Linked DNA regions of Styela clava. The protein of the gene in region 1 binds, or shares a complex with, the protein of each later gene. Links are inferred from orthologs where the notes say so. Each region holds a gene or a part of one and is shown on either strand. Other genes may lie near its edges. The genes, in order: structural maintenance of chromosomes protein 5-like and non-structural maintenance of chromosomes element 4 homolog A-like.

The links.
Region 2: structural maintenance of chromosomes protein 5-like (region 1) and non-structural maintenance of chromosomes element 4 homolog A-like share a complex: the UniProt entries of both Homo sapiens proteins name them as parts of the SMC5-SMC6 complex. The link is inferred for Styela clava from reciprocal best matches to the Homo sapiens genes SMC5 and NSMCE4A.

What each region holds. Positions count from the first base shown.
Region 1 is NC_135250.1:26,787,791-26,796,011, forward strand, and holds the start of structural maintenance of chromosomes protein 5-like, read right to left. Parts: upstream 3,269-8,221; 5' UTR 3,217-3,268; coding exon 3,110-3,216; intron 2,751-3,109; coding exon 2,556-2,750; intron 2,160-2,555; coding exon 2,063-2,159; intron 1,994-2,062; coding exon 1,853-1,993; intron 1-1,852. UniProt on the Homo sapiens protein: Core component of the SMC5-SMC6 complex, a complex involved in repair of DNA double-strand breaks by homologous recombination.
Region 2 is NC_135257.1:6,221,714-6,229,519, forward strand, and holds non-structural maintenance of chromosomes element 4 homolog A-like, read left to right. Parts: upstream 1-4,881; 5' UTR 4,882-4,941; coding exon 4,942-5,937; 3' UTR 5,938-7,203; downstream 7,204-7,806. UniProt on the Homo sapiens protein: Component of the SMC5-SMC6 complex, a complex involved in DNA double-strand breaks by homologous recombination. The complex may promote sister chromatid homologous recombination by recruiting the SMC1-SMC3 cohesin complex to double-strand breaks.

The DNA.
Region 1 (8,221 bases):
ATGAAAAATTCTGTGCCATAATAAACTCACTCAGACAGTAAACAGAAATAATACAGAAGGCCTATTACACATTGGATGCATGCATGACAATGTTTACTTTTGTGTACTTTTAGCTTGGTATTTGGTAAAGTTAATGATTAACTAGAATTTGAGGTTTGTATTTTTCACTCTTCGAGAGTTCTTTGTGTGCAAAGTGAGGGATAAATTCACTACTAACACTGAAGCCTATTTCGAAATAACTGGAATACCAACTTAAATACAGTATAAATTAAATGTTATAACAGCAAACAAATTGTATTGTTTCAAAAGGAGAATACACAACTGACATTAATATATATTTCTATAGTATTTAACCTGCGATAACTAATCATCGACTTTTGAAATTAAGATTGTTTTAAAAGAAGTATAAATTAAAGATAAACAAAATCTACAATTAATTTTTGTTGTTACATAAAACTCGAATGGACCGTAAATGTTACCAGTGGCATATCTGAAGAATGACAGCCATGGATTGTGTGCCGAAAAGGCCTTAATCGCAAAATGTTTCAATAGAATAATTTCAAACTGGGAATTTATCTCTACCGAATAGGTTGTTCCAGAACTTTTATATTATCTAGGTTGCCCAATCATCCGAATGTTTAGATTAGGATCATTTTAATAAAGACCTTTGTTAATTGACTTTGAAATCGTACCTAATAAAGCTGTATAAGGATATTCAATACAAAAACTTGTTATTGCACAAGGATGCCAATTACGTCTATGAATTGTTTATTAAATATGACAATGTTGGAAACAAAACCTACTTTTCCCAACTACTAGAAGACCCATAACTTTAAATCAAAATAGTTTGAATTTTTTCAGTCACACTAAAGTACTTTTGTTGAACAAAACGAACAGAAAACTGTGTGAACTTTTTTCAATAAAAGATTCCTTATACAAGAGTCATAAGCCTAAAAACTGATTCTTATATTTCGAAAGTTTTATTATTAATGAGGAGTTGAAAAAAATATCAATATGCCATTCAGATCTTATGGAATTGAAAACAAACACAATGAATGCCTGTTCCAGTATACAAACATGGTACAGAAAAGGATTCCAACTCTATTCAATCTAGTAACTCGATATACACAAGTTTAATTTTTACAATGGAAGGACTCGGTTGCATCATGAGACGTTGGTTAGGCCAGTGTGCGTTTCCACATCAGTCTCGAAGGACTGAATAAAACCAAGATAGTACTTATTCAACAGCGATGATTTATTTTTTTTCTGATGTTTAATGTCTTTCCCTCTGAACAAGGATCTGTGTAAGCTACTACTATATCATGGAAGGACCAGAATCTGGCGTTCCAGAAGTGTATGTACCAATTTGGAACATCAAGTTGTGTAAAGGGACTGAAACCTATGGCAGGGTATATTCACTTGGCTAACACAGACAGTCCTCGAGCTCGTAATAAAACTAAAATAAGGAAAATCGGAATAAAATTATGGCCTAACCCTAACCTGGTATACACACTAATAGAGTAGGCTACCTTATTTATTACATCCTGGTTAAGATAGTGGCCATGAGTGAGTTTTTGATTTACCGAACTTAAACCTGCAATGCTAACATTGTGAATCCACAGAATCTTTTAATCAATAGGTCACCGTTTGAAAAACTCTTTAAATTGGTATCAAATATAACATTAAAATTCTATTACAGATTTCACTTGAATTTTCAGTGCTCTGCTGTAATGTTGTTCAAGATGAGTGTCCTTTACTTTTACGTTAGTGTGTAATCTTGCTTAAAGCAAAAGATAGAATACCGAAAAATACAATTTTTCAAGAAACTATGCCAAATAAATGAATTACTTACCGCCAGTTCAGTATTCTCCAGAAGCTCAATTTTATTCATTTTCGCAAAATCAGCAACTTTTTCTTGCGGAAGAAACTGACATAGATTGGAAAGTTGAATGTTCAAGCCGCTTACAGTCTCTTCAATAATTTTCGCTGATACCTGATTGAATATCAAAGTTAGATTTTATTTTATTTACCATAAATGGTAGAATACTCTGAGTATACTTACCAATACTCCGTCCCTGTACCATGAAGTTGTTGATTTATTTGAATTTGTGTGCTTTACTATTTCACGACAGATTAGGATGTTTTTAGGTTCATCATATCTGTTAAATGTTAAAAACAGAGGGATTACAGGAAAAGATGAATTACCTAGCAGGGGGGAGCACAAAATATTGTACTGCAGAATATAAATTCTTCCAAGGGTAGGATACCCTATGTAGTAGCAATGATTTTAAACCCCATACAAAAATACCGTAAACAGCATGCTATAGACTCTGATTTAAAACAATTATGTAGATAATAATTTTCGATTAAATTAAATTTAAATATTCAGTTTTTTTTTATGTAAATTAAATTTGGTACTGTTCCAGTATGATGCCGCAAAAAAAAAATTGCTCAAAATTTTCAGTCTCGTTTGCTCAAGTATTCACTCTTCCCGCTTCTTACGCTTCATCGATATCCAGGTCAAATTAATGGAAAAGTAACGATTCTTCACTTACAGTTCAATTTCGATGATTGCTTTGGTTTGTCCATATTTAATATATTCTCCGACATCTTTGGCTCTAGCGAGGTAGTTTGTCTTTCCACCCAATCCTAGACATATTGCACAAACAATGCTGGATTTACCGGTGCCATTTGGACCAATAATGACATTCAACTTTGGATTCAACGAGAACTGGAAGCTGTCATATGTTCTGAAATAGATATGGAATTAAAAAATAAATTCAAATAATAAAATCAATGCAAGACAAGGGCTGTAGCTGTCTCCGACTCAGGACTAAGCTCCAGAATTCCAGCTCCGAAATCTGAGAAAATCAATCAAAAAATTCAGAATTTTTACTTCCACCCAGGAAGTTTAAAAATATGATACTGGCTCAAGTAAAAACAAATTCAAATTCCACACTCCTGGTTCTTTTTTCATTTCTACACGATTCCTATTAATTTCACAGTCTGTTCTCAGTCAGATTTTAGTAGCAACTTTATTATTTCATACTCAAAACACGTTTATTAATTAAAGTTTTTCTACGCAAAGATACAAAAATTTTGATCGTACAAAAAATCTTTCGCAGCAATTCTGACGATTGATCCATGAGTAAATTTTTTCTTCGACTTCCTGTTACTCTGTCCAGAACCAACGACGTACGACTCATCATCTTCCATGACTGCTTTTAGCCTAATGGTAAACCAAATTCTGTTTACAAAGAGAATGATGGACATAAACACAATATTAGACAACTGGTAATGGGTCCTGATGAAATTTACGGTAACTGTTTAATGATACTCAAGCTTTTCTGTTGAATCTCTTCATGTGGATATTTTGGAATTCTTTTTTCCTCCCTCCTAAGCATAAAACTACTTTATTTGTTCAATCATCAATGGATCCTTTGCTAGTACGCAACTCACACACAACTGTGTTTCTGCACAGTTTATTATGTGTTCGTGAACAAGTACTATTTATCGTACTAAAAAAAAAAAATTAGTAATACCACAGTGAATACAAAGCAAAAGTACTCCCCAAAAATGGCAAAAATCCTTCCTGGAAAAGAATTCCTCCCCTTTTGAAAACGTTTCATAACAGGAGTGTGCCTTGTCAAGATTTTTTCATATCAAGCCCAAAAATCTAATCCGACAATTTATGTTACAACTTTTGTTAAAGCTGATGTTAACAAATTATGCAAGAACTCAAAATTTCAAAGTGCTACTCAATCAAAATTTTCTATTGTGGAAATTTTTTGGTTCGATGTGTACATGGTTACCTAAATTGTTTGTGTGGCCCAGCTAGATGAAGTTGGTTTTATGGCCCACCGATAAAAAATGTTGCACGCATCTAGTTTAGACCGAGACTATAAAATTGGGGAACATTTTTAAGAGCTCGACTCTAGGTTGAAAAAATGAAAATTTCGACTGCTCTTGAGAAAATCAAATTTTAATAACAAAATATTTGGCAAATGCAAATACTCTTTAATTATCTGTTCATTTTCTGATCCATTTTCATTTTAAGTTAGGATGAACACAAAAAGGCAATAATCGAACTTATCCAAACCTAACATGAACAGAATCAAAGAGAAGAAATCGGAAAATTAATGGTGACGTAACAATACAGCAATACTGCAATAGGATAGTGCCTCATGAATGAATAACATAAACATATCCTATATGAAAATGAATGGAAAATAGAAGCATCAACGCAGGAAATGTGAATCATAGAACATAATAACAGTCAGATTGAAAATTCCTTATTCAGTAATTCAAAAATTTTATAAAATCATCATAGGTGTCAGCTCTAACTCAATATATTGGTACTCAAAGAGATTTACTCAAGTAATACATGGAACCCAGCAAAACATACAAAAGTAGCCCAACTAGTACACTACTGGTGTTAAATATTCCCCACAAACCAAAGAATCACATAATCCATTAATTCCACACGAATTTTATCATTTCAGCATTTTGATCACTCCCAGATAGAAAGGTAAGACTAAATTAAATTTTAAAATCACCAAAGTTTCATCAATTTTAATTAAAAAACATATATTATTAAATTAAAAACCCCAGTAACGGTGCTGAAGTACGGCACTCAGACACAGAACCGAACTTTGGGTGAGAGAACACGTACTGCTTCTTTTATCAATACCTTTCCATCTAAAATCTGTACGTTTCAAACCTTACTCTAGGTTTTGTTCGCTTTCCCGATTCTATAATCAGTTACTTTTATCTATTTCTTATCGTCTATTGCTGATTATGGAGTCGAAATAAACTTATACTTATACAGAACCTGAAAACGGTGAATAGACAAACTGCCGAGCGTGGGCAAAATAAGCGTGCACTAACAACTGGACGAATGCATGTGTAAAACCACTTTCAAGCCGCAAAACCTACCAACAAATAACTAGACATATTTACAGTTAGCAAAATAATTAACACTTAAACTACAACAAGAAACAAGATATCTATATCACTAAATAAACCTCCTCCGGAAAGACTTCCGCGGAAAAATCCCGAAGCTGAACTGTCAAAACGAGGTGAAGAAAACAAACCAACTCCCGCAGGACGACGTCACGGTTGACAGTTTTGCGCCCTTTGCGGTTTGTTTGTTTCTTTATTTTTTTCAATCATTCGTCTACAACTACTGATGTGCAAAATCAAATCAAAATTCCAACCACCAACGGTAATAAAGAGCAACAAGTTTTCGGTACTTTCCCAGTGCTTTTTGAGTTATACATAGCAATGCTAAAAAGCGTGAATATACGTGTGTGAAGCGAGTTGTAATGTACAATACATGTTGAAAAAATATTGGATTATCTGTTGCGAGGTTTGTATGAGAGTTATACGTTATAGGTATGTAAGCTTAGCCATGAGAATTCCACTGTTTAAGCAACAGACAGGCTGTGGCTGTGCGAATTAGAAATTCCTGCTTTAATTTTGAAGCGCAAGTATTTAGAGTTTCTGTAGTGTAAATGTTAATTTAAAAATTATACAAATTTTGCACCTAGAATCTAGAAGTAAAATACCCGGTTTAAGAGGTGTGATACAGTCTAACGAATTTTTCATAAAACCAGAAAGAAGTGTGGAAACGCACATTTGATTGCTACAATAAAAAAAATTCTAATTGGTTCAATCGTGGTACATAACAGTGTACAATCAAGAGACATATTGATTAGATTGTAGTAACACGTATTTGAGCTCTGTTATCACAAGTGAGATTGCCACACTGGCATGGGGTTCTGCCGACTCCACACAAATTTCTAGTCACGACACGAATAACACACAATAGTAATCGAATCTTTATTTGATTAAAAACTTTGCTGCCTGAAAATCTAATGTATTCCACAAATTTGAATATGTGACTGACTCTTTGTTATTATTTTATTATCCTGGGATCGCCTGCTGAGTCATTATTTCGACTGATATATTTTCCACAGGAGTAGACGTCACTATCCTTTGCTGACTCCAAGCATCTCGTTTCCTCTTCTTCATATGACTGCTCTAAAAGTTGAACAGGTATTTGTTGCTCTATATTTATTGGATCAATCTACGCCTTTCTGCTGAATGATAAGGTTTTCTACTTCTGTCATCAGAATGTTGAATATATAGCGTGGCTTTGCATCTGGCAAAATCAGAATTTTACAGTGCTGTCGATCATATTTAATCGTTAAAACATGTCGCTACAGATATAGCGTAATGTGAATAAGCTTAGTTACTCACGTTTGAAACTGATCTGAACTAGAAAATTATAATTGAAGCAGAAATCTAAAAAATAAGCAGCATAATAACGCAGGGAATCGAAGAACACACTTTATTTGCTCAAAGCAAGGTTAAGGTTTCTATCGACTAAAAGTGGGAAGGAATACTTTTCGGTAAGAGTGCTGGCTTCCGCGATTAAAGTTTTATAAATATCTATAGCAGGGGTGGGCAAGGTAGTTTTCCCCACCGATACCGGCGGGCCATGTAGGTGGAAAGTTACACGTGAACACACACAACAAGTGCACGAGGCGAAAGAAAGAGGTGTGAAATGCACGCTGTCGAATCGAGTGGGCGAGAAAACGTAAAGTTTTGTTAACGTCCTATATAATGAATGTCTGTGGCAACCTAAAATACAACTTACACAGATTACGATCATAATCTAACAAGCCTATTGCAGTGCTAGATTTGAGAGTGCGCGGTATACGCGTGTAATATATATATATATATACATGGATCAAATTAAAAAATAAACTAATTTGTAATAAGAAGGTAATGCAGCGCGTTATGCAGAGTGCGCGTCATATTCGAATAAATACGGTGAGCAATAACTGCTAAGCGAGGCCAAAATTGTCTGCCGGGGATATTTTGGGACAGTGTATTTCAAAGCCTCCATATGTTTTCACTTCTGAATGGTATGAAAATCGAAAGGAGGAAATAAGCTTAGAATATAGTTATCTGTTTAAAATTTTCAAAATTCAATAAAAACAACGATTTTAGTAGACAATACAATCAATTCAAACTTCCAGACGATAGGAGAGTGACATGCGCGGTCAAAAGTAATGATAGAGCTTGTCTCAAAGTTTGAAACCCTGAACAACGCGTAACGCCAATGAATTATGTATTTTTAGTATTCAATGTAACAAATTTTATATATATATATATTTTATTTTTGAAGCAAATTTTATATATATATTTTTTTGTTTATACGGATTAGGCCGACAAGTCTGGAATCCAGCCCAAAAGCCTTCATGCCCAGACTATGCCGACGGAAGTTCTATAGCTCATTTTCTTTTCGAAAAAAGAAGAAATCGCTGGTGTTGTAACCTAAGTTCTGTCTAAGTTCTGGCAGCTTCTGGATCCAACTCCAGCGGTTCTGGCTTGAATAGTCTATCCATGTTTAAGTTAATTAAATTGTTGTAACCTAAGTTCTGTTTATTACTTCACAAACAAATCCATCCACAAATACTAGGCTTTAATTAACTTAAACGTTAGCAGCACCTTAAAGCAGTTCACAATGAAATGATAAAGCACCAACAAAACATGACTCAGATAAAAGCAAGTCGAGTATGACTCGTCAGACAAATTACTGTTGCCAGTAAACAGATAAGTTGAGAATACCAAAATATGCAATAATACAATATAAATTACCACAGCTGGTTCCACATTATTGTGGTTAACTTCCTTTCATCACTTCTATGATTTACGAAATAGAAGACTTACCTAGATCTTATGATACGTCTATGAGCACTATTCTCAATACGTGCGTTTATGCTAGCCAGAGAAATTCGTCCAGTCTGAAAACAAAGGTGCTGGTGACATTTTTTTCGAAACTAGCACCCCCCCCCTTCCTTCAAAAAATAAGGAAAGGTATAACAATGTTTCTGGCATACTCTGGCATAATTATCTTACGGAAAATTGAAAAGCGATTCGTCGGCCAGAACTATCTTTTTGTCTGAACTACAACACAAGGAACGCCATTGTTAAACAAAATGATTCATTGGTCCAACAATTAGCTGAAAATCATACAGTGTACAAATTTACTCCTGTCGTGAGCACGTCATAATAATTTTGAATAATATTGTGAAGTTCGAAAATACAATTCGGAAATTATGGCCATTTAATAAACAGAACTCAAAATTGCCTATCTCATGAAAGATTTTTTGGACCGGTGCAGCAATCTTCAAAGTGTCAGGTTAGCAAT
Region 2 (7,806 bases), on another chromosome or scaffold:
TGAAATTGGTTCAAAACTTCTTCTAATTTGTTATAAACATTTCGACGTAATATATTACCCAGGTAGTAACAATCGCATCGTTATAAACAATCTAATTTGTCTTCTGGCAATATCAGTTCGAAATTCCAGTTTTAATTGTTATCGGACGACGATTTTAATAATGTAATTTGGCCTATGACTTCATATAAACTACATAACAGAAACAATTGACTTATGTCGTATAGAATCTTTTATAATACGTATCCAAGTCACATTATCCCCTAATAGAACATAATTTACCGTTCACAAAATTTATAAAAGCCTGTGCAAAATCTATATTGACAACCAGCGGTGTTCAACCACGGCTACAATATAGATATTCAATCACTTGCTGTTGCTGTTGTATAATATTCTTTACAACCTGAAGATCTGACTGTAATATCTTTTCATGGATAGTTTATGGAATGGATTTCATGGATAGTTTACGTAGAATTATTTGTACATTATTTCATGCTGTAACAGCTAACTGTAAAACACGTAGTTCCTAAATAAGAAGAATGGCTACAGGATGGTAAATACGAGATGGCAATGTCACCTAAACAAAATTCGCTCGGCAAATGACATCAGGTAGCTGATATGCCCAAAGTTAGGCTTAAAAGCATCGTTAAACGAATGTTACAATAAAAATCCTTTAATATTCAACACGCCAGTAGTCAGTCAACGAATTTTTTTGCGTTATTCAAAAAGTTACAAATATATAAAAACGTAAAACAGTAATTGTTTTTAATGTCACAGAAGCCGTATTAAACTCTCGATTATAGATCTTTCTCCATCAGTAATCGGGGATATAAATTTGAATTTAAATTTATTAAGGAGATAAAACATTAAAAACACAACTTCACAATGGAAGTGTATGAGTGAACACTAATCGAAGCTTTCAATTTTAAAATTATTAGAAATATTGAGTATCCAATGAAAATCCTTACTATTTGTTCTATTTTGACATGATATGATTTACGTATCTTGCAATTAGGTAAAACCACAGATCTAAGAATTGAAAATTTTAAATGTCAGTTCTGAAATTAAACATGAAAAGATTTTGTGTATATTTTGCTACTTTTATATGTCGGGCGTATAGTGTCTTCATGTCGCGAATGAGCATCAGAATAGGTTGTGCAGAAAATGGTGCTCCCGTAGTATGTGCACAAAGTTGGCACACAACCCGAACATAGTATGTGTACCAAGATAGAGGTATTAGGTTGTGCGCCATCTTGGAGCACATAGGCTACTACGGGAGCGCCCTGAAAATACCCACATTGGCAACACCGACTTACCGAATACAAATTTTACACTTCCACAATTTCGCTTTCGATACTTTCTCACATGTATCATGATAACAACGCTTGCAAACGCAGCATTGGTATTGTACGTGCTCCCGTATACATTTCGCACTTTAACAGACACTCCAATTATTATTTTCCAGAAAGCAAAATTCATGCATCGGAATGTCAGAGTATATGAGTGGCGACGATGCAGTGCGACAACGTTCCAAATGTGATTGAATTTTTGTTGACTCCGCCTTGTTCAATCTTCCATATGGGCGTTTTGAAGAGGTATGTACTCACTTCAAATATAAATACTTGCACCACCCTCGGGCAGACGTCGAATTGAAACTAGCGATAAGAATAGCACTCAATATACATCGGATTGTCTTAAAAAACATTTCAACGAGAAAGCAAAGTATAGTAAGTACTAAGTTCTGACGAAAATGATTTTATGAAAAGTATTGCAAAAATATATGGCAACTGTAATCGAAAAAAATGAAAAATCAGGCACTTGCGAAATTTGACCCCTCATCACAAGTCCCAATCGTTTTTCCTTTTTACCAAAAAAGACGGCATTTCAATCATACAAAAGAGTGTATATTTTAGTTTTCTGCTTCAAAGTAAGTATAAACATCGAGAAATAGGTTTTTACAAAGTGCCTGAAATTTCACAAGTGCCTGGTTTTAGTATTTTGTGATTGGAGTTGCCAGATTTTATCATTCCTATTCAATTTCAAATAAATCTAAAAAGTACGATGGTTATCTATATGTTGTCAAATAATATTGCTCATTGTAAAAACGCTGAAATTGTTGTAGAACTAGGAATTTATTTTAAAAAGCAATGATTAGTAAGTTCTGACTCAAATAATTTAGAAAAATTGTTGCGAAAATATATGGCAACTGTTATCGAAAAAAATGAAAAATCAGGCACTTGCGAAATTTGACCCCTCATCACCAGTCCCAATCGTTTTGTTTTTTACCAAAATGACGTCATTTCAATCCTAAAAAAGAGTGTATATTTTAGTTTTCTGCTTCAAAGTGTACAAAAACATCTAGAAATAGGTTTTTACGAAGTGCCTGAAATTTCACAAGTGCCTGGTTTTAGTATTTCGTGCTTGAGGTTGCCAGATTTTATTATTCATATTCAAATTCAAATAAATCCAGAAAGTATGATGGTTGACCATATGTTGTCAAATGGTATTGCTCATTGCAATATTAAAAACGCTCAAACTGTTGTGGAACAATGAATTTGCGTTAGAAAGCAAAGTATAGTAAGTGCTGACGCAAATAAAATTTTTGCGAAAATATATGGCAACTGTTATCGAAAAAAATGAAAAATCAGGCACTTGCGAAATTTGACCCCTCATCACCAGTCCCAATCGTGTTTGTTTTTTTACCAAAAAGACGTCATTTCAATCATAAAAAAGAGTTTATATTTTAGTTTTCTGCTTCAAAGTGTATAAAAACATCGAGAAATAGGTTTTTACGAAGTGCCTGAAATTTCACAAGTGCCTGGTTTTAGTATTTTGTGCTTGAGGTTGCCAGATTTTATTATTCATATTCAATTTCAAATAAATCCAGAAAGTACGATGATTGACCATATGTTGTCAAATGGTATTGCTCATTGCAATATTAAAAACGCTCAAATTGTTGTGGAACAATGAATTCGCGTTAGAAAGCAAAGAATAATAAGTGCTGACGCAAACAATTTAAGAAAATAATTGCGAAAAAATATGGCAACTGTCACCGAGAAAAATGAAAAATCAGGCACTTGCGAAATATGACATGTCTCCATCAGTCACAAACGGTATTGTATTTTACCAAAATGTTGTAAATTCAACCATACAAAGTGTATATATTTAATGTTCTGCTTTAGAGTAATCAGATACATTGTAAAATAGGTTTTGACCAAGTGCCTGAAATTTCACAAGTGCCTGATTTCTATATTTTGTAATCAATGTTGCCACATTTTACTATTGAAAAATTATTTATACCCTAATAAAGTGGAAATAATATTGTTTTATTGCAATATAGGGATGCAAAAAATTATTTAAAGTTCAATTATCTTGTCAGGTCAATTGGAAACCCCAATGACGTACGGTAAAAAAAAATATCAAAGTGCCTGAAATGGTGCCTGAAAAAGTGCCTGAATTCGCAAGTGCCTGGTTTTAGGGAGACCCTCCTTTGCGTGTCGAGTACCGTACGTTTTCTTGTCACTTTGTTATCCCTTGCACAGTATTCTAACCAAACACATTCAATTTATTATATTTGCCCTCACGATTGAAGTTGTAAGTAAAACAGCCACCTTTCCATCTCCCATTACAAGAAGACCCTTCGTGCAGTTGCAGGCATACCGGTACCGTACCCGTTAACCGCCGTCGCATGGCGAGTTAGCCTCCACCACCCCTTGTATTGAGTCTGTTCCGCACACATCTCATTCATGTATTCAGCTACCATTAGCAGAGGCAAGCCTATTACAAGTACTGATTTACATTATATACAGATAGGTACGGTACCGGTATAATTTAAAAGCGGGAGATCGATATTTAGCCCAATGCTCGAGACATAGATCAGACGTCGTCAGGTACCGGTACCGGTATCACAGTATTATACTGCGTGAACACCCCTATAAAATTTTAAACCCTCCTCTGTTTGTTAGCTCCTCAATTTCCGTTTTTTAATTCTAGGGTATGAGCTGATTGCATTTGCAAATTCATGCAGTCATTTGTCAACTTATGAACTCATCGCTCATGACGAAAAAAACCTCCACTTACTTGAATTACCGTATCATTCCCAACTACTAATCTGCTAATTGCATCTTGAAACTATACAAAGATACATGTTTTACTTAACTTTGTAGCCAAATTAGTTTAAGCATAAATTCAACCGTAAGACTCAGACTTTTTCTGTCTTCTGGTCATAGCCCAGTAGTCATATACCAGTATACCGTAACAGTATAATGATATACCGGTACCGCATGTATTCTTGTTTGCGATAGAATTTTTCATCAATTATAAAAATGCGTATTGAGGAAACTGGGTTCGCAGGGGGTTGAGAAGGCTTAAAATTCCTTGTATGCTATCTATTACTGTATCATTCATACATTCAAATTTTGTGAAAACTGTGCTAGTTGACGTGTAATGCACGAATTTTCTTGGCAAAATACTGCTTATAAATCCAGGGATTTTGTGCAAAATTTATAATATTTTAGTTTTGTTCATTTTTGAAAGAATTTTACAAACATGTTTTTTGAAATAAAATAAATATCACAATAATTAGGTCTATGTAAAACAGAAGTTTTGGTAGGAAAACTGACATTTTGAGTTGGTACATGTGTTTTCAATTAATGTATCATTCTATGAGTTTTATAAAAATCAATATACATATATAATACATAATAATATTTGCATTAATAAATTATTTTATACTTCTTGTTCTTGGACTTGCTTATTCTTTGTTTTAAGTTGGAGAATTTGGTTATTGTCTGATTTGGAAAGTTTGATATAATTGATATGCCAATAGTAGTAAGATAATCACATTATTTTTACTATAAGGATTGGTGCCTATTTGACTATATCAATTCAATGTTGTTTTAGGTTATAGTCCTAGAATACAGTGTATATCTCATCAAAATAGACATGGCAGAAAACGGAGATGAAGAGATGGAGATTTCATCTCTATCAAGCAAATTTATGACACCTATCCAACGTGCAGAAAGGTTGAAGATTCGACAAGAATACAGAAAACTGATCAGTGAAGTCCAAGACAAAAAGGAAGAATTTGTAAAACCAGAAAGTGGAGATTTATTGGATCGTGTCAAAAAAGCAAACTCTCTATTTCAAAGGGTGAAATCAACGAGGGAGGGAGCTTTAGATTCACGGTTTATGGCATTATCAGTGTCTATTGCGGGGCAAACAACAAATCAACTTCAAACAGATCTTGTGGCATTTCAACCTGAGGAATTCATGGAAAAATTAGTGACCAGAATGGATGGGCGTTATATTGGTGAAGAAGAAGATGAAGTTCATATCACTTCAGAAGGATGGGAAAATTTCGGACAATATTCCTCTAAATTTTTTTCTAGCGTGAACCCTGTATTGAATGTTATGTCTGGTACATTTGAGCACAGTGCACTAAGAAGGCGACACACACAGTCTGACCCCATAGATAACGATACAGGGACTAAAACACAGCCGCAGCACCTTACACATTTCGAGGGGGATCGAAAAGAAGCCACACCAGAAGAAATTGAAAGAGTGCTTGGAGTGATTCAACAAATGTATGAACAAGATCCAGTCCCAATAGACTATTTTGAACTTGTTGTAAATCCGGATTCTTTTGGTCATACTATTGAAAACATGTTTCACATGGCATTTCTCGTCAAAGATGGCTTTGTTCGTGTGTTTTTAAATGAAAATCAAATACCAGTTGTTGAGCCAGTCAACCAAAATGAGGAAGATAATACTCAAACCGAAAAAAAATGTAATCAAGTCATGGTATCAATGTCAATGGATGAGTGGAGGGAAATTATTGATATTTATGAACTAGGAGGAAGAGCTCCATTCATAGAACCTTCAGAGCCTAAAAGCCCTGAGAGAGCTAATGGTCCATCATCAAAAAGAGTTAGAAGCTGAGTACCTCAGTGCTAAAACTTATGACTGAGTATGAGCTGAAAAATGATGTGATATCACATTTGAAATTTAAAGGCAGTTGTGAGCTTAAAATCGCAACCCTTGTGTTCAACTATGTTTCATCATCTTCTAAGTGTGTTACATAGCATGAGTTGGGTGATCCTGGACTGTAGTAGTTTGCCACATACAGTAGGACCAAGGTAATTTGGTATCTGATCATCTGATGCTATTTGATCAGTATCAATAAGTCATCTAGATTGATTTTTATCATAGATTTTGATAAGTGCTTTTATCCTTGTGTATGAACTATTCAGAGATAGAATGTAATACTTGGAATATTGTTTCAAAGATTGTCTTTTTGATTCTTGTATGTTAATGTGTATCTGATTTTCCTATGAATCGGCCGATTTCATGATGAACTATAGAGTGAGATTTTCATTGATTTGTAATGCAGAGTCCAAATAAAATATGAAATAATTCTTATGATAAATATGAAATTCTTAATTCTAAACATACCGTGATAAATTGTGCACTTATCGTCTGAATGAGTTGTCCAATTCCATGTGGTATTTCTATCAACCAATGGGTGGACTGGAACTGAATCAATTGGGGCACACTTGACCTAGACGTTTTTAATTAATACAAAAGCAATGATTTCAGGTGAATTTATCATCCAATTTGACATGAAAACTATAAACATTTGATTGTCGTGTTCGATTGGCATACAGGCAGGCCATGGATAGAAGCTATTGTTGTGCTGAATGAATCACTATGTAGCCTATATTGTTGACATAGTTTTTTTACCTTTGGCTGCAAGTCTATATCATGCCCAAAATATCACACCTTTTATACATTGGCCTGATTTGAGTTATGTTTTAGTATCTTTACTCCAATCCTGCATTTGAAGGGGTGAAATGGGTTATCTTTTCAATATCTTTACTGCAAGTTTGCGTTCGAAGGGATGAAATGGCCACTTTTTTATTAATAAATTTTGGAATCATTTTCTTTTCTCATAATTCTATCGTTTTTACTCTTCATGATACTCTAGTATTTTCATACCATTTGGGGCAAAGGTTGTAACCATTTGTTGAGTTTTTATAACATTGAAAACATTTTTGTGATCACGTACCATGAGAGTCAGTAGACCGAGCACTCAATTATTCACATTGTCCCAAAGAAGATTGTCAACCGATGATATCTTTTTATTGTCAGCAGACCGGCATCGTCCTTTTTTATGATCGACGAAATATACAAACACAAACGAAGAAACCCATAGCATTGCATTGCTAGTAAATTATTGGCCTTCAACTTCACAATTACGTGTTTCGCCGAGCCATAAGGTTGTGTTTCAGAATAGACTCGATTGAGTTTAGGCGTTGCGTTTATTGCACAGATTCTTGTTATGGGCGACTGATGACCCAAATCGCCAATTTTTAATACTAAAAAAGCAGGCTCTCTTGGGGAGAGACTCTCTCTCTCTCTCTATAAAATAATGCATATTAAAATTGCATGTATTGTCAGCACAGTCTTATGCAATTGTTTGTTTCACACTGAATGGATTCTAATGGCAATGGGAGAGCGAGATTTCTTATTATGTCAACCAAACAATAGTCAGGCGTGTTTGACATTTTATTTTCATGGAGACTCTAAACTTGAGATAGCGTTGGTGTATTGAGAAACTTGCGTATGAATGAATGCTTTTTGTGGTTTCTCAGATTTGGGCAAGAGCTCATGCGGAACTAAGCATCTAAGGGGCAGCAGTAAAGCTTATTCAGGACGCCAAGCCTTTTCGTTGGGAAATTTAGGAGCGTGATGCTATATATTTCAAATGAATGACCATTTAGAAATCGTTTTTGGCGCTTTCTCGTGACA